Linked DNA regions of Oryzias latipes. The protein of the gene in region 1 interacts with the protein of each later gene in a pairwise test. Links are inferred from orthologs where the notes say so. Each region holds a gene or a part of one and is shown in the gene's direction. Other genes may lie near its edges. The genes, in order: pin1, janus kinase and microtubule-interacting protein 2, cep76, dab1, supt5h and cnksr1.

Region 1 (4,174 bases):
CAGCTTAGTAAAGGTCAAGTCAGTGCGTCAAAAGGATACAGTCACCGAGAGACACGTGATCCTTGAAGATGGTGTACCTATTAAAACAAGAACACATTTTCTAAGTAAAGAAGCCAAAAAGGGCAATGTTCATTGTGATGCAAAGAAGAAAAAGGCAAAGGAAGGCAAAGTTACCATTTCTTTAGTACAATTTTGTCATATCTTGTTCCCGTCTGTGCTGCAATTAGTTTCTTCAGGTCTCCAATTGTGTCCTCTGAGCTGTGCAAGGATGTTGAGGAGCAATTTGGTGACGTGGAAAACCCTTCAAAACAAACACTTCCAGCTTTCATGTCCTGAATGTTTTCAGTCTTTAGATTTTAAATAGAGCTGCATGATGGTGCAATGGGGAAGGCCCTGGTTCCAAACCCTGCTGGGACCCTTCTGTGTGGAGTTTGCTTGTTGCAGAGAAACCCCATGCACTCCGGCTTCCTCCCACAGTCGAAAATACATGATTCATAGGTTACCTGGTTATTCTAATGTAGGCCCAAATGGTTATTCTAATGAACCCCAAATGGGTTCATAAGGAAAGGGTCCATCCATAGCACGGTTACTGTGCTATGGATGGACCATAGCACAGTAACCCCCCCCCCCCTTAACTAATCAGAACCAGCATGTTGCAGTGCAGTATTAACAGCCAAAACATCTTTAGCAGATCAGCAAATCAAATGTGTTCAGAAGGATACTTGCACTTGACCCGGACTTTCTTCCCAAGACGATCGTTGCAAATCACCTCAATCATCGTGTACTGTGAAAAAAAGAGGAGCTAGTAAGCTGAAATATTGGAGTTATGAACAGGAACGACATTAATCGTTCACACCACTAACATTAAGTCAAAAGAATGTGTAATTCATTTTGCGTCAACAGCAGAAACTAAATTGACGATGAAATTCGACCAGCCATGATTTTTTTAGCTAACCCGTTAGCTTGTGCACACAACTCTTTTAAATATATAAAACATAAATTAGATGGCGCCTATTAAGATCAACTTAAGGTTTCAAAAATGTTGCCAGACGTGTTAAAAAGATCAAAAAGTGTAAAACATACGTTAAATGTAGCCCAAGATTGATGGATTTTCTTCACTAGTTGAAACCTTCTGGAAAGCTCTCGGTGCTCATCACCGTAGAATCGATGTCGCGTGTTATTGTCCTCTTAACCAATTAGATAGTAAGAAATATGATTGACAAGAGTTGAAGACCAATAGTAGGACGGACAAGCCGTTTGGGGGCGGGCCAAACTCAGAAAACAACTTTTGCCGTAAACCGACTGTCGTACCTGCTGAGCCGTAGCCGTGTCGCATCGTTTGAACGTTGAATTCTAACTTGATAACGTTGCAGCAGATAACATGGCAGACGAGGAGAATTTACCGTCGGGATGGGAGAAAAGAATGAGCCGTAGTTCAGGTAAATATACATAAGACGGGGGAGGCTGAATGTATGAGCTCAACTGCAGCCCACGAGAAGTTGATTTAGCTTATAGCTAGCCCGTGCATCGTGGTAAGCGAGGCTTTGTGAACTTGTTTCAGGTGAGGCTGTCCTGCTAATGCATGCATCGGGGTTACCGACACGGTTTCTATCAGGAAAAGTGCCGCTGGGAAAATACGGTTATGCTACGGTTTGCTTTATAACTAGCTTTTCCCCCACTTTTTTTTCTAATGGAGATGTTCTGCAGGGCCGCCGTTGCATGACGTCACCTGGAATTTGCGCAGACGCAGCTTAGACCTGATGTCTTGAAAGTATTTTGTGAATATATACGCACAGTAAAACTGACAATTTGGGGAATATTTTGTAAACAAGATCACTTTACATTTTTTTCATATATAGGTAATTATTTAACTTTGAGAAATCTACTAAACTTTCAGATCCCCCCCAAAATGTGATTTATTTCTGCAGATACGTCTGTTTATCTGATTTCTCTTCTTCTTTTACAGAAAATCTGTTTGGGTAGATGATTGCCTTGTAAAAACTTTAGGTGTTTTTTTTTCTGTTTTATTTGTGTGTTTCTTTTCAATGGAGTAAAAAGGAAGGATTGCAAAGGAACAGCTTTTTGCAGACCTATAAACTAAATTGAACACTGTCAGCAGTTGATGCATTGGTTTTATTCAAAACCATGCAACTTCATGACCAACTACTATGAAACAACAATAATACCGATACGGGGAATTGTGAGTGCTTTTGCAGTTTTAGTGGGTAAGGTCATGTAAACTGTAATTTGATTTTTGTGTCTTCTAATGTCTTGGATCATTCCAAAGGTGCTGATCAAACTGCTTTCTTTGCTGTTTGTAGGCAAGGTGTACTACTTTAACCACATCACTAATGCCAGCCAGTGGGAACGTCCTGTGGGAGATGGCCGTGGAGAGCCAGATAAGGTGGACTTCATTTTGTGTGTTTTATTAGCAATACATTTAGGATTGAAATCATAATAAATTCACTAAAGAAGTATTTGTAGAGCTTGTGATAGTGATGTACCGGTAATGATTAGTTTTAATGACATTCATATTAGGGCTGCACCATATGAGGAAAACTCGCCATATTAGTGATCAATATTGCGACGACGATAAAACATTCATGAACAAATAGCAAAACGACTAAAAACATCATTTCCATTTTACTGCAACAGTTTAATTTAAATAAGAGTCAACATAACTTAAATTATACTCCAAATGACCCTCGTCTACATAGGAGGCGAACGTCTAACCTAAGAAAAGCTTCAAAATAAATAAATAAAAGAGCCCCATCTGATTGGTCAATTTATTTGATTCGTTAAATACTCCAATATTTGTTTTAGCACATTTAAAGTAAACATTTATTGCTATTTTTGACGACTTTTGCAATATGCGAATTGCACAGCTTGAAATTGCGATAATGATACATTTGCGTTTTGTTGTGCAGGTCTAATTCATATGATCACTTGTGGTTTCCAGTACGATTTTATGGTCAATATTGGTTCAATCTAACTAACACTTGGTTGTTATTATGTTATAGTAAAGTAAACCGTCCCTTAAGCCAAATGGTATTTCCCGATATGGAAATAATATATTTATTTTAATTTGAAACAGTTTTATAATGTAATAGATCGATTCAATTAACAAATGCCTCAGACAGATTGTTCTGCTTGGATCGTAGGAATATAAATCGATTGATTGATCAGGTCAATTAGTCATTACACCCCTGCACAGAAACATTTTATAACACTTTCTAACAAATAGGTGATGATGTATTGTGTATCTTTTTGTGTTTCCTCCTTTCTCTCTCTCAGGTGCGATGCTCCCACCTCCTAGTAAAACATAATCAGTCTCGACGTCCTTCTTCCTGGAGGGAACAAAATATAACACGAACTAAAGAAGAGGCTATAGAGCTTATTCAGAGTAAGTAAGGCAGAGGACAGAAACACCAGATCTGTTTCAAATCTCTACTTAATCTGTCTTTTTTTTGGTTCTGTTTTCTAGAGTACATAGACGAAATCAAATCTGGGCATGAGTCTTTTGAATCTCTAGCCTCTCAGTTCAGCGACTGCAGCTCAGCTAAGAACGGTGGAGATCTGGGACTGTTTGCCAGAGGTACCAACATCATAATGGGAATATTGGGTTTTCTTAGTTTTAGTTCTTCAGCTTTTATGTAGTTATAAGGTAGTATTGTCCTAATATTTACAGTTTTTTAAGTAAAAATGCTTTCTAATTTTAGTTAAAAAATGCTTAATAATTAACTCTGTTTATAAGGTTTCCTCTCCAGCAAAAGCCTCATAAACTTTTTTACTCTGTCTATTTGTTGGTCTCTCAACATTGCTTTGTTGCATTTGCCAGGACAATTCTTATCACTTACTCTGGCACGGGTTGTCTTTTCTGTTGAATCAACCCACAAATGCCAAACTGAAGAGAAATTACACATAATGCTTATATTATACGTATTAGAAAACATGCAATTTAGTTTTAGTCTTCCTAAAATACCCAATTTAGTCTAAGTTGGCTTACGTCTGCATGTTTGCATTCATGATCTACATTTAACTCAAACCTCATCACCCACCTGATTAAAAAAAAAAGATAATGACTAGTAGCACTAACAACTGTAAAGTTTATTAAACATAACAATGTGTCTACCGTATTTTCCGGACTATAAGTCGCCCTTTTTTTCATAGTTTG
Region 2 (3,608 bases), on another chromosome or scaffold:
TCAAAGCTGCACTGAATGCCATGCGAGATGGCAGCGGCGAGAAGGTATGGTCAAGGTTGATGGCTGAAGCAAGTTTGCTGTTAAGAGATGCAAGAACACTGTATCTTTCTGCTCTTCAGGTGCGTACCGCACTCACGTTGGAGGCAAAAGAAGAGGCGCGCCGCTTCTTTGACCAGGAAAGAGTGAAGCTCCTGCAGGAGATCGCAGAGCTGAAGTCGTCTAAGAAGCAGACCGACGAGGCGCTCAGCAACATGATCCAGGCAGACAAGATGAAGGCTGGGGACCTGCGGGTGGAGCACCAGCAGCATCAGGAACAGATCTCCAAGATCAAGTGGGACTGTGAGCGGGACATTCGCAGACTGGTATGCACAAAAATGCTTGAAATAAAAACCAATCAATTTGAAACAACTGAACTAAAATGAAAATACACTCTTGATGTGGAATATTCTTGGTGCATTGTCTTAACAGTTGAAAGGCAAAATTCTTATTTAAGATACTTCTAGCAAAAAAAGCTCTATAGGTAAACAATAACGTGGTTAAAAAAAAAGGTAAAAAACTATGATTTCTAGAGGGGCAACCAATCTTGGCTGAACTGTGATTCGTACAGATCAGTAGCCACGATTCGAAACACAACGTGTACGTAAGGGTTAATGGCCGACGTAGTGTGCATTATTACTTTTTAACGCACGCCGTGGAAGGCTGAACCGTCCGACGGATGCTTCCACGAAGTGCGTTAATGGCGAAGGCCATTAACCCGCTCATGCCATGGTCACTTACAAAAGCAATACATATTAACCAGTTTCAAGATTTGGCGATATATATATATATAATGCTGATCTTTCCGATGGGTTGAATAAAGCATCAATTCAGAGAGAAAGTTCACCTCTTACCGCTTGTTTTTTTTCCAAATGATGAAGCAAAGGGTTGTTTCAAAGAAGTGATACAAAACATTGAAGCTAGGTGACCTGAACTTCTTTTTTCACCATGCGGTTATCACTGTGGTATCACTTTTTAATGTACACCCAGCAGCCAATCAGAATCGAGTATTCACCCGGACCATGGTATAACTTGACTTATTTTATTTTTTACTGGTCCTAAAAAGCTGTGAAACAATCCAAACTGAGTTTTATGATCTGTTGCACCCCTAATGAAATTAGTACTAAAAAAATCTAAATAACTTAATTAACAAAATCTCCTGCCTGATTACTAAAAAATTCAAGAAGCAGATTTCTTGTTTCTTTGCCTATGTCATACTTTTATGGCCTATGAGCTGTTAAGACATGTAAATGTTCTGTGGTCTTTGTGCTTATTCTGATTCTGAGAACTGGTTCTAATTTTACTTTGCCGGTTAAATCAAAACGAAGACAAAAACTGGAACATTTGATCTAATGACACCAGTATTTTTGTTCTTTCTAGGTAGATGAAATCAAGGCGAAAGATCGCACCATTTTTGCTCTGGAGAAGGAACTGGAGTCAACGACAGGCTTTCTGCAGAAGCTGCAGCTCCAGAAAGATGCTCTGGATGAACAGCTGTTTATAGCCAAAGAGGCCGAGTGCGGCCTGGGAAGTCCCAAAAGAGAGATTCCAGGCAGAGCTGGAGATGGAGCCGAGCACCACGGCAGCCCTGTACGAACAAAGCCACGCATTTTTGGAGCCAGTCAAACATTCACATTATTTCAAATAAACTATACTAGCCTCTTATTTTAACTACCTTTTGTATGATGTCTGGTCATGCGGTAAACCTGGATGCCTTTTTTTCCCTTTTTAATTCACTTTAGGACTTGAGGAGGAATCAGAGGCGCATTGCTGACCTGAACTCAACCATACGGAGGTTGGAGGACCGCAACTCACTGTTGGGCGATGAGAGAAATGAACTGGTATGACCAAGTTCTACAAATAAAAGTGAAATCTAACCCATTGTTTCAATATTTTTGGCCTTAACCTAACATCAGGGGTGTCCAAGCTTTGTTCAAAGAGGGCCAGATTTGGTGAGGTGAAAATGTGTGAGGCCAACCAATCAGCCTGCATGCTTTGAACATTAAAATATAAATGAACAATTTCACAATTTTTTTTTTCTTGCGCAACGGGATCATTGTCACATCTGGGTTCACATGAAATTTCACATATTATTCTCTATTAAGTACTAAAAATAAATCATGTGAACAGGAAAATAACAAATAGTGATATTAAACTGAAGTACAAACTACTGTAGTTTTGATCAGAGAACAAAAAGAGGCTCTGAAGGTCAGGTTGGTGCCACAGGTTTAAAAACGCAGTTTAGTCAATCACAATCAAGAAATCGTGGTTCTTAGAAAGTGCTGGGGCTGCATATTTATGGCAAAAGCCCAAGGATCCTATTTGGCCCACAAGACGGACTTTGGACAGGCCTTTAGACTACCCATCTTCTGACTCCTGGTCATTCCCTTTTTTTTTATGTCTCTCTCTACTAGCTAAAGCGCGTTCGTGAAACAGAAAAGCAGTGCAAGCCTCTGCTTGAAAAGAACAAACTGCTGAGTAAAAGAAATGACGACTTGACGATGACCATCCAAAAATTGGAGGAGAAGCTGAAGAACCTGACAAAAGAGAATCTGGAAATGGTTCGTACGCTAGCATCCATAACAGATTTATAGATTTTGTGATCTAACATCTTGCATGCTCCTGCAGAAAGAGAGAATGAGCTCCCATCCTCCTCTCAAGAAGCTAAAGTCACTGAATGACTTGGACCAAGCCCACGATGACCAGGAAATCACATTTCTGAAACTTCAAGTCCTGGAACAGCAAAACATGATTGATGAACTTACACGGGTAGGTTTGACTTTAAATGATTCTGATTCTGATTCTGATTCATTTCAGAATCAGAATTTCTGATTCTGATTCTGAAATGACTGGAATTTAATCGCCATTTTCTCCAGCACTTCTGCCAATTTTCAGTGTGACGGAAAATTTAGAGAGACTGGTTTTAGAACCAATTTTGTAACCCTTGTGCTATCCTAGGCACTTTAACATTGGGAGTTGGGTCATTTGGACCCCACTAGACAGTGCGCTGAACTTTTTTAATCAGTGATATGTGATCTTCAGTGGTGTCTATGGATGACATGAAATCCTCTTCACCTTTATCCACCTTTGTCATGGTAGGGAGAACACGTCAATGTAAGGGTGGGGTCATCTAAAATAGCACAAGGGTTAAGTACACCAAGACCCCTCTGTTCAGCTGTTTCTCCCAAGTGTTGTGAGAGCTTTTTCCTCACATTGTGAATGAATTTCACTGTATTTTATCACAATAAAGAAGATACTATTATCAGTAATAAATTTTCATGGCTCTTCTAGTAAAACAACGGGGAAGACATCAAAATTGCTTGTTTTTTTAATTTATAGTCTTAAACAGGAAGAAACAAGTTCCATGAGCCACACAAACTAATACTGAAAGGGCGGTGCTTGCCCAAAGCGAGTGCTGTCCTTCCTTTAGGCCCTGTTTAAAGAGAAGACCGTACTTAACATTGTTCACAAAAACAAGTGTAATCGAGTTCTAGCAATTATCTCATTCAGTCTTTTTGACATAAGAGAAAAAAATTTCGTTTACAGCCATTTGTTGACTGACTTATTGACAA
Region 3 (3,608 bases), on another chromosome or scaffold:
ACGTTTACACTCTACCTACATTTCCGCGACCAGAGGTTTGGATCTAAGCCTGTGCCCTGTACCTGTGAACCAGACATGAGGGAAAACTTCCTCCTGGAACTCTGCAGGGACAATGCAGGTAGGAGGAAAGTAACTGTTTAGAGGTTAGTGAAGATGAGCTTGAACTTAGGTTCCAGGCTTAAAAAATACATCTCCTCCTTGAACCTAATCATGACTTCTTTTCTTGTTAAAGATGGAGGTAAAGTGATGGATGCAGCCTCTATGCTGTCTATATGCGACCCTATCCACTTTGTCCTGATCAAGACGGACATTTCTGGTGAGACGACGCTGGTGTCGTCCTATTTCCTGGATTGGAGGCCAGTTCTCAGCTCAACAAACAGCAAGACTTGTTTTGCTGTGGAGTTAATGGGAGTTGGTAAGCCACCCTGATTGTTATGGTCGGATAAGCAACCCCTACTTTTAAATAATATATTACCTTTGGCACACTAAAGAATGAATTTATTTTTAAATGAGTTAATTTTGTAGGTCATTTTCCTACCTGGAAGTAAAACGTCTCGATCTCTGCGGCTCCGCCTTTCTGTCCTTGTGGGTGCCGCCCATTTCATGACATCATCCTCGGCAGCATGTCTGCCTTTCACCCACAAAAACAAACAACATCTGAACTTTTGCAAAGATGGATGTTCATATTGTGGAGCAGGGCTGCTCATTCCTGGTCCTTTAGCTCTACCACCCTGTCTGTTTTCCAGATCTCCAAGCTCTGCTAGCTGCTGAATGAGGGTGTGTGTGTTAGCGTGGGGGTGGGTTGGCACCGCAGACTCTTCCTGGAAGGGGCTGTTCCTCACTTTGTAATGCTGCAATGTGAGGGTCCACCCATTTTTGTGGATTGGGAGGGGCTGGGGCTCAGAACGCAGGTTTTTAGAGGAATACTCAGAGATGTGTGAACGGATCACAATACTGCTTTGGGGTTGTTTTTTGTGAGGAATGAACATTATTATACATTTAAAAGCTTAAAAAGTTGATTCTGCTGGATACAGACCCTTTAAACCAGGGTTTCTCAAAGTTTTTGTAGCGGAGGGCCAAATGAAGAACTCTGCATTAGACTGGGGGCCAATTTTGGTTTAAAAAAATGGATAAACAGAAAAGGTTGTTTTTAATAACTTGGATGACCAAGTGTCATTGTACAGTTAACCAGGCCCAGGCTGTGCAGAGACTAATGCACGGAGCATCAGTCAAAACACTCTCAGCAAAGCGGGTTAAAGTTCTGCAGAACCTCCCAGCAATAGATTGTAGTCCAGCGACCTGATGGATCAGAGTGATGTGTACAACGCTCTGAAACAAGGCCAACGTCATGGCGATGGTGTGCGAGAAAGCTGAGCTGCAGCTGCAGAGCAGACTGTCATGGAAATAAAGCATCTTTGCCACATGAAAGCATCTCCTTCATCTGTCATGCTGCTGCATCATCATCATAACACTTTATTGATGTTTTTCCCCTTTATTCTTGAAGCACCGTTCAGGCTCCTAAACCATTGAAAAGTACTGGAGAAGCTACATTTACCAATATTGGAAATAAACATCACTTTATTTCGTCAATCATACTTTTAGAACCTTATTAGTTAAGGCACATTCATTCTTTTTTTTTTCTTATACTGAAATATATTTTTTTGTGGAAATCAGACAAAGTATACTGTTCCTTTTCTATATTTTAACTTACCAAAACAAAAGCAGTGTGAATTTGAGATACAGTTGCAGTGCTTAACATTGTGATCATTAAATAAAATGGATTTTTACCATTTCATCACTATGGAAGACATTAATATTCAGGTAGTTTTTTCTAAGTGATACCCCCAAAAAAAATAAAAATAAAAAAGAAGTGTTCTGGTAGAACGTCGGGATACGTATAGTATGATCAGACTCTTGGCAATACACATCCGTAGATTATAGCACCAGTCAAATGCATACGTCTGCCTTTTTATGGATGTTTTAAAGTGACATTTTTCTTGTATTTATATTTGGATTTTGAACCAGAGATGCTTAAACACGCGGTAAAAAGAAACCTTAAAAGGTGGAGGAGGGGATCTTTCTTCAAGTAGATTCCAAAAGTAAAACAAGTTTTTTTTTTGTCTTATAAACGCTTATGCTGTACTAATAATTTCTTGAACCACAGGAAGTGAATGCAAAGTGCCAGCTGGTGTTCTGACAGTCAACCTGGAGCTGTACCCTCCTCCAGCTGTGAATCTAAGTGCAGATGTCATCAGCACACAGGTCAGCAGCATTTCTGAAATCAAGTTTCTGAAACCATCCGTTGAATCACCAAACTCTGATTCTTAATGAAGGCACCCTAAAGTAACTTAGTGAAAACCCTGACGGGATAGAAACTGCTGGAAGCCAGAAGAATAAATGGAGTTTATTTAAACGACTCGCTCTCTCATTTTGTTTAATGTTTTTTTTGCCAAGTCCTGATGTAGAAGTGTTTGCTTTTTGTTGGTTTATTCTGGTGTTTCTCTTCAATAAATCAAAACAAAGGTTTAAATATCGGATATTTGTATCAACCAAAAGAAGCTGGAAGGTATTGTGTTTCTGTGACCCGTGTGTGATTGTCCTGCAGCAGTCACTGGAGAGGACGAGGACGGCAGAGAAGGACAGGCTCTTCTTGGTTTATGCTAAACAATGGTGGCGAGAGTTCCTGGAGATTCGGGCGTCTCATCAGTCCAAGCTGGTCAAAATATTTGCACAGGTTAGTTCTGAGATATTTTAAAAAAAAGATGTTATTAAAAAAAAATTACAGCTGCAATGTCATTAACTGATAATTCACTTGCTGTGATCATCAGATCATCATCAGACTTCCTTTTGTATCTGGAAACATTTTTTTGGGGAGGAGATTGGTTCAAATCATGATGCATGATTCTAGAAATTACCGATATCTGCTGCTTTTTATGTTCTGTTTGCTTCAGTTCTTTTCCAGAACGTTTAGCCCTATGCTTCTGTTGTGTGTCTGCAGGACGAGAACGGCGTAAACCGACCCGTCTGCTCTTATGTGCGTGTCCTCCGGGCTGGCCGCCTCCTGGAGAGCTCGCGCCACGCTGCCCGCTTCGTCAGCCTGCTGGCCCACGAGAGGGCTCCGATGCTTGGAGGAGGAACGGGCAAGCAGGAGCAGTGGTGCACGTTGATGGCTTTTCTGTGTCGAGGAAAGGTGGGTGTCTGCTGCTGAACATCCACAACACAGATGGTCTGACTTTCAGACGCTGTTGATGTTTTCTGGTCTGTGGCAATAGCATCAAAGTTTGTTTCCATGTTTCTTCAAACCTTTCCTTTTCTGCCTTTTTCATACATGAGCTCCCCCAACCTGTGGCTTTATCATCCTGTAACTGAGGCCAGTCTCTCACTTCATTCCAATGGGTTTCAGGTTGACTTTAGTCCAGGATATGCACAAAAGAGGCATTTGGGACCTCAATATACCTGCACTTTCTTTTGGGCTTAAACGGTAACATCAAGTTGCAGGTTTTGATGAATCTTTCCATCAGCAGGCTGATGAAGTTCAGACTCAAGTCTGCTATAAGTTCTGGGTGTTGGTAGACTTGGCCGCTGTGCAGCTCATCCTTACAGTGACC
Region 4 (3,608 bases), on another chromosome or scaffold:
TGCTGCACAATTTAAATGAGGTGTATGTTGAACGAGATACGTTTTTGATTGTGTGATTTAAAGCGTAAAGGCCCTCCTTTTCTATGATATTTAAAATGGGAATTTTATGTGTTTACATTATGTATCTTCAAGATTACCATAAAGTGGAATTGATGTTTTAGATGAATTTTTTTGCTGTACGTATGGCGTATTTCTTTTGAAGGACCCCGAGAAGAGTAGCTGTCTGCTAGGCACAGCTTATGGGGATCAAATGCAGAAATAAGAAACAAAAGTTCAGCTCAGAAACAGAAAGAAACTCAAAAAGAATTCCTTTAGATGCAGAAAACGATGTGTCTAGTGGTGTTTGATTGATGCACTTCAGATGTTTCTCTTTTTCCCCCAAAAAAACAACTTAAAAAAAAACAAAAGACTAAAAAATAAAATTCCAGTTGATGCAACTGTTGAAGAATTGATGCATGCTACCTTTGGAACACCATAGATTGAGTAGAATCAAACAGAAGTGTACATAAAATAAGACATGTGAATGTTTAAATGGTAGTAAGGCACATCCATTACATTACATCAGGGGTGTCCAACTCATTTTCACAGAGGGCCTCATCAGCATAGTGTCTGTCCTCAAAGGGCCAGATATAACTTATACATGAAACTAAATGTAATGAAAAACAAATGTAACTACTCCTTAATGTTAAATAACTATTTATTTATCATAACGTTTTAAAGTGAGAATTACAGTTGCATAGAAAAGGATCAAACTATCCAAGTGAATAAATAATAATAAGATAAAACTGAGCTAGAAAAAGCATGTGTTACACGTGTAACATTTTACAAAAAAAAAGGCTGCACACAGCCTTGCATCCAACTGATGGTTTGATGACAACAATTTGTCTGCATACACACATAAGACATGCAAACATTGAATAATTACATCAGAAGCAACAAATAAATAATATGTAATCAACTAAAGAAAATTTTATTTTAATAAATTAAACATTTTTATGCTCTTGCGGGCCACATAGAATAACATGGCGGCCCACATGTGGCCCCCGGGCCTTGAGTTTGACACATGTGCATTACATCAATTACACCAGCAAGAAAAGGTTTTCATAAAAACCTCATACCAACCTCCTGGAAAGTCTTATTCCTTTTCTTATCTCTTCTGAATCTCTCATAGCTACTGTGACGTTTTCCAGCGTGGTCAAATCTAGTCTAAAAACAGAAAGGCAGATGCAACACTACGTTGTGTAGCTGTTGGTGTTCCTCACACCTTGCTGTAACTGTGACACGGTTGATTGTGCATGTGCTTGTGGTGTTTGACGGTGCTCTCATGTCCCTCCAGCCTTGAATCAGACAAATGTGTACAAAGTTGTTGGTTCAGGGAGACAGATCCACAGCATGTGTCATGACTGACTCACAGCTGAGAATCTCAGAGATTCTGAAACAAAACTACTTCATGCAATGCAGCAATCTATCCATGAACTCAGTCAGGTCCCCGCACAGCTCAAGTCAATAATTGATTAGGTCGATCATTGCTGCACCAGTAGTCTCCTTGTCTTTGTGCTGTGGCAGCGGTTTTGTGAACAAGTGGTTGCTTCCAATAGCATTTGCTTCTCTAGCAAGGTAAGAAGAGAGACTAATATCTTCTTATGTTAATGTGAAAATCGTATCCATAGAAGGCAGTTTGTGCAGACATGCCGCAGAGCCTCTTTGCTGTCATGGTGTGGCCTTCTTTAACCTCAGGTCGCTACCGTTTGACGGCAACACTCATTTGACACAGTCTGAAACTTTCATTTTCTGAAATGATTCACTGCAGCTCAGACAGCTATCTGCTGAGGGGCTTTGCTGCCTGTTATGAAGGATTTGGAACAAGCACATTGCATGTCTGCGTCTAATGTATTTGAGCAAATCCTCCAAAGTTCCCTGGAGAAACGTTCAGGCCTGATTTAGCTCAGTTCAGTCATTTATCAGCAGATGTTTGTGAGGTTTATTCTTAAGGTGAACTTTATCTAATGTGTCAAGTGTTTCTTATCTGGATTCATCTTCGACTTTTCAGTCAGAAACTTTGTCCTGACAGTATAAAGCTGACGGTTCATCGAAGTCTTTTCTAAAGGGTCGAGAGAATCACTACACAAAGATATCAATGCTTCTTTACTTTACTCTGCCAGTTTCACTATTATTCATATTATTTCTAGCTTAAAAGGAAAAAAGGTGGTAGATTATTTTATCATGCAGTCACAACCACAGAACTCCTTTTACATCTGAAAAAGCATATTTATGTAGAGAATAAGGAGAAAAAGCAACAGAGCAAACCAGCGTGTACATCAAAATTGCACACAGCCAAGCGTTTGAAGGTCACCAATCATCTTGAAATAAGCAAATTCAATCAGTAAATGGCTTTAAAGCAAAGCACAAAACATCCACTCGAGCATCAGACGGGACGCGATTCTTCCTCATCACTCATCAATCCAGCGTGTTGATGGAAAAATAAGATGATTGAACATTGTGTTTCTGTGATTTTTACATTGCTGTGGGGGAGTGTTAACCTTTCTTGTGTGTGTGGGTGTGTCTGCCAACAGTTGGCCTTTATTACACTAAGTTCCAAGGTGGGGGAGTGCAAGGTTCAGTTCAGTTGAGTGGATAAAGTCCTGCTTTACTGCGTTCTTGTCTTTTTGTAGGCGGAGCCTGTGATTCTGGACCTGCGGGACTTATTTCAGCTCATCTATGACATAAAGCAGAGGGAGGAGATGGAGAAGAAGGCTCAGAAAGATAAGCAGTGTGAGCAGGCGGTCTACCAGGTACTCCATCAAGCCCTCTCTTGTTGTATTCAAACCACTTTATGAACCAGGCCTCATGAACACAATGGGTTCCTTCCAATAGACTCTTGAGTGAAGAGCAAAACAAGATAAAAGAAGGACACGAGGAGCCGCTGCTTTCACAAATCCTCCGTACACATAGCTTATTTTCTTTTCCTCTGTTCTGCCCTCCTCCCTGTGAACGTCTCTTTCCTCTGCTGATGATCGCCAAATGATTACCTGAGTGCAGGGAAGGCTTCCTGCGCTTTCCTTCCTCCTTTTCCTGTTCCACCGGCTTAACTCTCTGCCTCTTCCCTTTCTTCTGTCTTCTCTCCTCCCATTTGATCTCTCCTGCTCTTTCCTGCCGCCGCTCTTATGCAGACAATCCTGGAGGAGGATCTGGAGGACCCTGTCTACCAGGTAACTTCCTGTCCAATCACGTTGCTGCTCTCACCTGCTGCACTTCAGCTTGTTCCTCTGTGTGCACTGTGGGGAGACAGATCCTGTTTGTGTTCGGTAGTACAACACTTAGTACTGTGCGTGGCTGTGTGTGCATGAGTATAGAAGGTTTCCTGTGATTTCCATGTAAGCCGTCCTTGTCTCACAGAGGACTTTTCTTCAACTATTTCAAATGTCAGAAAACTGTTTGACTAACCACCTTTGCAGTTTCACCACTTTTCTCTCAATTTCTCATCTTGCAACTCTTCTTCTGCGATTCTTTTTTTGTTTTTGCCCTCCCTCCCCCCTCTGCTGCTGATGTTGTAGTACATTGTGTTTGAGGCGGGACACGAGCCCATCCATGACCAATCAGAGGAAAGC
Region 5 (3,608 bases), on another chromosome or scaffold:
GCTCATTTCAGTTCATTGGGAATTTAAAGATGTGTGGAGCCAGTTTGATGTTGTGTGTAACTTTGTGTTGTTCCGGACGTGAGGAAGTGTGGCTTTCATAAAAAAAGTATTTGTGAGTTAAAAAAAAGGCTGGTAGGACTTCTGGTTCACAATGGACCCGAGTCAGGAAGAGAACCGCAATGTGATGTTGTGTGTTTGCTGCTCCGATGAGTTCTGACTGCACTTTCTCTGTCTCTCGCCGTTCCTCGCCGCCATGATGGTGGCGCTCAGCTAACGGTAATCCTGATTCTGCCTCTGACATCCATCACCCCAAACATCTGTGTGTCCCCGCCCCATCTGACAGCAGCCTCGTCCCAGACCGGTCTCACTGGGGATGCACGGTTTGCCCTGAAGGTTTAACAGAAAACCAGCAAACATCTGTTTGTGCGGTGGAGGTCAGAGCAACAGCAGGAAGTGAGGCAAGACAGCTGTCCGTCATCGTGCATCCCTGGTGCTGACCCGCCTCATTGTGGCTGTGCTGTTTAGAAGAAGCCAGAGGGCATTTCAACAGAACGATGGAGTCAGGAAGTCTTTGCCTTCAGTAATCAAAGTTCCAGATGTTGTCAGTTTGAAAACCCAGCAGATGTCTATTCAATGACATTTTGCAGCCAGAGAGCAAACCTGCAGCTGAACGTTCTCCTCAGATTTCTCCACCGTGCTCTGAGTCAAGCAGCTCATTTAAAGCTCTTCTGTTTATTATCTCGGGGGTTTGAAATCAGAAATCCGGCGCCGTTTTTTCCACTAAACGTTTAGACGTGGCCGTGACCTGTTTTTAATTTCTACTGAGCTGGTTTCAGGGTTGGAGGCCAGATCTGCCTCTTCCACCAAACACAAACCTTCTGTTTCTGCTCAGCTGGTTCCGGTTCCACGGGTTCAGTACTTCCACAGAACCCGTCTGTTCCACAGAACCTAGTCATTACGCCATTGGACGTTTCAAGACAGAAAGGGGCAGAGCTTAAGTGGGGACTGAACGAGTTGTCTGTTGTTTTTTAGGTTTAATTTCCACCGACTGTCTGACTCGAAGCTTATCAAGAGAACGACCGCGAGAACAGAAACCTCTGGTGTCCTCTTGGACCAGCTGTTTTTCTAAAAGCGTTTGTTTCCTGCAGCCAGGTAGCCCCGCCCCCAACCCCAGCAGTAACGTGCCGAGGTTGAGAAGCAGGAGTTGGAATTCAGGCGGAGTAAACTAAAGAGCTTCAGCTGAGTCCTGGCTCTCAACTGAAACCAGCTCGGTGGGGAAAGAGTCCATCTGGACTCAGAACCAGGTTGTAGGCCTTCCAGCTCCTGGTTCTCCTCAGCATCCTCAGCTCCATCACCTCCTCAGAAAAAGCGTTTTCTCTCCTTGTAGCTGGACTGCATGTAGGGTTTCCAGTGGATCGGTGGAGGAAGGATCTTTTCTGAGCTGCAGTGGATCTCATCTGCACTCAGAAATGAAGCCAGAACAGAAACCTGTAAAAGATGAACTCTGCTCTGCTATGACTGCAGAGAAGTCTCTAAACCGATGAGGAAGAGCAGAGCTTTGTTTCTACTGAGGCGTCCTCTCAGCCCACATCCAGCTCTTCATCGTCTCCATGCTTCTCTGTGCTGCAGCCACCATTGTTCACTTTGTTTTCCCATCATGCTTTGTGTTGCTGCTGGCTGATCCTGGATGTTCTCCTCTTCCTCCATTCACCTGTATTGTGTTGTTTTGTCGGTTCTCCTTCCTCTGGCCTCCGTCTGCCCTCCTCTTCTTCACTGGAGCAGAAGAGGCTGAAGGTAAGGCCGGTTTCTTTGTTTTGGCCTAAAATCCAACGAGGTTTCACGTTTTCTTCATCATGTAAATGCTCCTCATCTCCTCAGTGTCCAACTTGGACCGCGTGGTTCTGGAAGATGATCATTCTGGATCCAGACGGCTGCAGAACCTCTGGAGGTAACGGGCCTCATTGTTTAGTTTGGACGCTCCTCCTTTGTTGTTGTTTATTGGGCCTCGCATGAGGATTTCTGGATGATTAAAACATTGTGTTTTATTCCTCCACAACAATAAGCAGCAGGAAAACCGTCTGTTTTTGCTTTTGTCTTGGTTTGCTGTTGAAAGCTTAACTGGGATTTCTGACAATGGAACAGTCACATTTATTTATTTATTTGACCTTATAAGACGCCACCTGCACTTTCTGTTATGTTTCAAACTTTCACAGAGAAGTCATTTTGTTGAAGTGAATAACTTAATAACTTCGTTTAAATCGAATAAACAATGCTGCTCAGCCCGTTACTCCCTGCACTTCTTGGAGCTAGTTATATGCTTTTTTTTTATTGACTTTTTTTTTTTTTTTTGTGTTTTAAAGTTTGATCCCAATATTTTCACTTTTACTGCAGATAAATGTGGGCTCCAAACATGGTTCTTGAATGCTAATAACCGACATTGGCCCTGAAAAAAAACAAATCAATCGATCTCTACAGCTGTCCAGAACCCAAAATGTGCCTGTGGTTGAGCGGCTGACCGCTGTGTCTGTGTTTCAGGGACTCCAGAGAAGAGGCGCTGGGAGAATACTACATGAGGAAGTATGCCAAGTCCTCAGCCGGAGAGCAGTAAGTGAAGACGGCCTCACTGGGAACCGCAGGGAGAAGAAAACGTGTTTTGACAGAAACAGAAAATGAATCTATTGTGTTTCATAACTTTATTATCAGCATTGGGTGTAACAATAGCCATTCGTCTAATGTTATGCTGCATGGATTTGGTACGTAGGAACAACAAATGTCCATATTTCAAGGAAGAACTCCTGGTTTTATCTGTGAATAGCAGATCCTCTCTGGCTCTTTTCCTTCCAAAGACATTTTGTCTTTTTTTTAATTTAACGGTAGAGCAGCAGTAGCCGAAGTGACCGAGCCGAGCTCCTAGAGTAAGTCATAGATGGATGTTGTGGACAGAATCCCATATTTTTCCAAAATGAAACTTACTTCAGACTCAGATTATTAACAAAACAGAAATAGTCTATGTGACCATTTGGAATTCTTTATATTTATTTTTTTGTTGTGGTACCAAGTGACCCACGGACTGGGACTGGGACTGGGACTGGGACTGGTCCACGGCCCGGTGGTTGGGGACCACTGAATTAAAGAACATCTGTATATTTCAGAAAGAGACATTAGGAAGTAACATAGCCTGTTACTTTATTTATGTAACACAACAACAGTTTAGGAAAGTGCTATAAAAGATAACAACACCGGTAAGAACAAGCAAAGGTACCACCTAAAAACACCTGTAGAACCACCTTAAAAGAGCTGTCATTCAAAGAGAGGAAATAGTTTCAATCCTAACCCTGGACTGCAGTTTACGGACAAACGTCCAAAAGAGAACTGAAGTCTTTGTTCTTTAAATATTCCAATGTTCTAAAGAAAATCAAGTCTTCATTTTTAGGATTAAAAAAAGTTTGTTCCAGATTTTCCTGAGTTTGGGTTTCAACAAAGTGAAATCTGCTCTGTTTTTGTTCAGTTACTATGGCGGCACCGAGGAGCTTTCTGATGACATCACCCAGCAGCAGCTGCTTCCTGGTGTCAAGTACGTGAACGCTCATCCACCAATCAGCTGTGAG
Region 6 (3,608 bases), on another chromosome or scaffold:
TATCTTAAGAACATATCTGCTTCCCCTCTTATGTTTCCTCCTCCACATTTCTTAGTCTTCTACTACCATACTCCCTACTCATCCCAGAAACAGCACCAACAACTTCCCAAACGCAAACATATTTAGTTCTGCCTTAGTGATTCTAGTAACTGTGTCATTGTGTGTCATCATATATCTCTTGAGCATTAGCTTGGGCATGAGTGTGTGTTTGTGGAATAAGTGTGTGTACACAGGCATTGGTGCGGTTCGTTGGATTTGCCAGTCATCCCATAGAATTACAAGGGATGTGATGTTGTTTCACAAACCTCCAAGGATTCCTTTTGTTTGTGTTTGAATCACCCTCATCACATGGGATTTTCATTTAGTCACAATTTATAAAAGCCCGTTTTAATGAATTAATAACAAAGCTACGAAGGCCTAATTAGCATATTTAGACCTCATATTGCCTTTGGCATGGTTTAAACATGCTCATTAAAGAGCCACTCTGATGAAAATTGTGTTTGTGGTGTTTTTTTAACTTGGTCTTGAAGCATTTTTCTGATGATGGAGGGAAGAAAATTAAGCTTAAAATTGCATTTCTAAGTATTTCTTTATTCAAATCTTTGTGAATCAGGAGGTAATACTGTTTGAAAAAGTTTGTAGCAGTGATGTAGAAGCTACTACGGAAGCTCTGGCTCAAAATTGCACACTGGATGTCTGCAATATTTCTCATCATTTTTACTGCACCGTTAATGTTAGGTTTGGGGGTGGGTGAGGGACTATAAGCTAGCGGGAGAGCGTGTAAACAGAGGGATGATGGGAAGTGGGTGCAGGCTTGCACCTTGGCAACAGTGCCACCCACAACACAAAAGTTTCTAATGAACGTCTGCCGCTCTGCAGAAACTATGTTGTAGAAAACAACACAGCTTATTTGATTTTGGCAAAAAATGGGATAATCATAATTAAAAGACCACAGGGAAACGCTTTGAAAATGGATTACGGTAATAGATTTCCAACTCAAACTAACTCTGTTACTAAACTTTTTCCTAAAAATCAAATAATGTAGAATACCACAAACCAACAAAAAGTGGACAACAGAACACATTTCTGAAATGTTTCTGTTACACTGATGTTATCTTAGGTCCTACCAGGGTTTCTGTAATTCAGACAAATTTAAAAATATGTTCTGGGAAAGTGGCAAAAAATGTGCTGCATGACTGCATGGTGGTTTCAGATTCAGTTTCATCTAAAGCAGCATTGTCGCATCATTAGTGAAGAAATAATTCAAAGTATTATGTTTATGTAACGATGTGCCATACGTTTTGACAATAATGTCAATCATTTTACCAGAAGCATGAATTTGAAAAAAATCTGAATATGTCTGGCCGTTTTAATGCTGATTTTAAATTTACATATATATAAGAAGCAGAGATGGTTTACTTCTTCAAAGGACCACAAAAGTCCCAGTTAATATCTGGAATTGCCCTCTCTTTGCCTGCGGGCACTTGTGGCTTTGTACTTCCTGTCTCATGCTGTAAAGAGGAAATATGACACTGGCTTTAAGTCAGATTGCCCCATTTCCACAAATCAATACATTTGTTCATAGGCTGGGTTGTTGTCGTTGTTTTTTCTTTTTCTTTGGTCACACTTTCATGTTCTATTTTTAAATAGGACACCACAGTCCACGAAAAGGAAAAAGACATCATCCCTGTGGTGAGGTTGCTTCTAATTTGCATTATTATCTACCTCTGCCTCCTATCAACCTCTGCTGCTAAATAATTTCAACCTTTTATAAAAGACAGATTGTGCTTTTGTCTCATAGTGCCGTCAACTGGTGGCGTTTTGTGATGAGATCCTGAACTCCTGCCCTGAAGCTCTTCTCGCCCAGTCAGCTCAGCTGGAGAGCGTGGACTTGGTTCTCGTGTCGCCTGGTGATCAGCTGGTAAAAACGCCTTCATAAATGACCCTTTTGTTTAGAGTCTCCATGAAAGCAAAAAAGAAGATAGAGATTCTTAAAAGCTGCTGATATTCCTAGCTGCATTTTATTCAATAGGATCACTACTTTTAGAAATTGTTATTTTATCCAGTAAATAAAAGAAGAAAAAATGAGAATATTTCACAAAAATATCTAAGATTTAACACAAGTTTCTAACCTTTTGGGTGCTTCTGTTTTTTTTAATTTCTTTTTACTATTTTGTCTTCTTTTTTCTTAGCCGCTTTACTCCGAATCTTCTTCAGCATTTCTCTCTGCTTCCATCACTCCTGCTGCCTTTATCATTTTCTTCCATTCAGAGCTTCCATCGCCTAAATCAAGGTTCTCTGTGTTCTTCTTTTATGCCTCCTCCTGACTCGTTATCCACTGAATAGGATGTGCCTTTTTGTGCTGCTTCTTCTCATTTTGCTTTCAAGTTCGCACATTCTGTTCTATAATTATAGCTTTCTTCCTACCCTATCCACTGTTTCTTTCAGTATTTAGCACTAAGGACCAGTTTCCCTCTATACAATGTGTTCAGTTTTTGTTTGCTCTGTCCATTAAGGGAAATCTTATGTTAAAAGGCAGGTCCATGTGATCACTCTCGCCACACTTTGATGCATAAAGATAGCTTTCGTTTGTGCCTCTGTGAATACCTGTCAAAGGTTTTCAAGGACAGGCTTTGTAGCTAAATAAATAAATCTCAAATTAATCGTTATCGTTATCGCAATATCAAGCTGTGCAATACGCATATCGCAAAAGATGGCTAAAATTGCGATAAATTGTTACTTTAAATGTGCTAAAAAAATTCTTATGGCAGTTTGAAGTATTTAACGAATCAAATATATCCAATATATCCATTTGACCAATCAGATGGACACCTTCACATTGTTGACCAATCAGATGGAACCCTTTTATGTCAGATGCTCACCTCCTACGTAGACAAGGGTCATTTAGAGTATAATTTAATTCAAATTCAAATTAATTTTATTTATATAGCACCTTTCATGTAAAAAAAAAAAAACAGCTCAAGGTGCTGTACATAAAAACAAACAAGAATGCAGAAAACACCAATCCCCATTCATGCAATAAAATAATTAAATAAGTAAAAGAGAAATGACTAAAGAAAAAAGCTAAAAAAGAGAGAACCCAGAAGGCGCCGTCTGCCCTGTCCTCCTGTTGGTCGGGGTGACAGATAGACACAAACACCCCAGCTAACACTCGTAAACACTCTAACTTGGCTAAGAGACATTAAACAAATAAATTTGTTAAAATATCGTAAAATAAAAGTAAAAATTCTAGATTAAACAAATATGTATGTGATGAAATATCATAAAATGGAGTAAAAGTTCTACATTAAACAAATAAAACAAAATGATGTGATAAAACATCATAAAACATAAGGGTTAAAAAAAAAACGATAATTGGTACGTTGACTCTTATTTAAATTAAACTGTTGTAGTGAAATGGAAATAATGTTTTTGGTTGCAGTGCTATTTGTTCGTGCATCACAAGTTTTATCGTCATCGCAGTATTGATCATTAATATCCCTAATTGTGAATTTTCCTCATATCAAGCATCCCTAATTAAAAGGGAATTTTAAAGAAAACAGCCCGATTTTCTTATCATTACTTTCTGTGAATTCTTAACAAGTTAT

Evidence for each region.
Region 2: the proteins of pin1 (region 1) and janus kinase and microtubule-interacting protein 2 interact in binary tests that used the Homo sapiens proteins (3 or more experiments, as listed by UniProt). The two-hybrid records come from large-scale screens. The link is inferred for Oryzias latipes from reciprocal best matches to the Homo sapiens genes PIN1 and JAKMIP2.
Region 3: the proteins of pin1 (region 1) and cep76 interact in binary tests that used the Homo sapiens proteins (3 or more experiments, as listed by UniProt). The two-hybrid records come from large-scale screens. The link is inferred for Oryzias latipes from reciprocal best matches to the Homo sapiens genes PIN1 and CEP76.
Region 4: the proteins of pin1 (region 1) and dab1 interact in binary tests that used the Homo sapiens proteins (3 or more experiments, as listed by UniProt). The two-hybrid records come from large-scale screens. The link is inferred for Oryzias latipes from reciprocal best matches to the Homo sapiens genes PIN1 and DAB1.
Region 5: the proteins of pin1 (region 1) and supt5h interact in binary tests that used the Homo sapiens proteins (3 or more experiments, as listed by UniProt). The link is inferred for Oryzias latipes from reciprocal best matches to the Homo sapiens genes PIN1 and SUPT5H.
Region 6: the proteins of pin1 (region 1) and cnksr1 interact in binary tests that used the Homo sapiens proteins (3 or more experiments, as listed by UniProt). The two-hybrid records come from large-scale screens. The link is inferred for Oryzias latipes from reciprocal best matches to the Homo sapiens genes PIN1 and CNKSR1.

What each region holds. Positions count from the first base shown.
Region 1 is NC_019859.2:22,494,210-22,498,383, reverse strand, and holds the start of pin1 (peptidyl-prolyl cis-trans isomerase NIMA-interacting 1), read left to right. Parts: upstream 1-1,280; 5' UTR 1,281-1,311; coding exon of another isoform or gene 1,312-1,336; 5' UTR 1,337-1,381; coding exon 1,382-1,439; intron 1,440-2,321; coding exon 2,322-2,404; intron 2,405-3,294; coding exon 3,295-3,403; intron 3,404-3,484; coding exon 3,485-3,595; intron 3,596-4,174. Other genes in the region: ubl5 (ubiquitin-like protein 5), read right to left, coding at 40-77, 175-258, 723-784, 1,084-1,187, 1,312-1,336. UniProt on the Homo sapiens protein: Peptidyl-prolyl cis/trans isomerase (PPIase) that binds to and isomerizes specific phosphorylated Ser/Thr-Pro (pSer/Thr-Pro) motifs.
Region 2 is NC_019872.2:5,582,624-5,586,231, forward strand, and holds part of janus kinase and microtubule-interacting protein 2, read left to right. Parts: coding exon 1-44; intron 45-119; coding exon 120-362; intron 363-1,416; coding exon 1,417-1,626; intron 1,627-1,778; coding exon 1,779-1,877; intron 1,878-2,450; coding exon 2,451-2,597; intron 2,598-2,664; coding exon 2,665-2,805; intron 2,806-3,608.
Region 3 is NC_019874.2:5,541,029-5,544,636, forward strand, and holds part of cep76 (centrosomal protein of 76 kDa), read left to right. Parts: coding exon 1-118; intron 119-232; coding exon 233-415; intron 416-2,164; coding exon 2,165-2,262; intron 2,263-2,605; coding exon 2,606-2,734; intron 2,735-2,998; coding exon 2,999-3,190; intron 3,191-3,608. UniProt on the Homo sapiens protein: Centrosomal protein involved in regulation of centriole duplication. Required to limit centriole duplication to once per cell cycle by preventing centriole reduplication.
Region 4 is NC_019862.2:3,573,555-3,577,162, reverse strand, and holds part of dab1 (disabled homolog 1), read left to right. Parts: intron 1-2,672; coding exon 2,673-2,792; intron 2,793-3,170; coding exon 3,171-3,209; intron 3,210-3,554; coding exon 3,555-3,608. UniProt on the Homo sapiens protein: Signaling adapter of the reelin-mediated signaling pathway, which regulates the migration and differentiation of postmitotic neurons during brain development.
Region 5 is NC_019871.2:949,631-953,238, forward strand, and holds part of supt5h (transcription elongation factor SPT5), read left to right. Parts: intron 1-270; coding exon 271-276; intron 277-1,782; coding exon 1,783-1,794; intron 1,795-1,878; coding exon 1,879-1,948; intron 1,949-2,535; coding exon 2,536-2,604; intron 2,605-3,508; coding exon 3,509-3,574; intron 3,575-3,608. UniProt on the Homo sapiens protein: Component of the DRB sensitivity-inducing factor complex (DSIF complex), which regulates mRNA processing and transcription elongation by RNA polymerase II.
Region 6 is NC_019880.2:9,395,356-9,398,963, forward strand, and holds part of cnksr1 (connector enhancer of kinase suppressor of ras 1), read left to right. Parts: intron 1-1,650; coding exon 1,651-1,692; intron 1,693-1,801; coding exon 1,802-1,921; intron 1,922-3,608. UniProt on the Homo sapiens protein: May function as an adapter protein or regulator of Ras signaling pathways.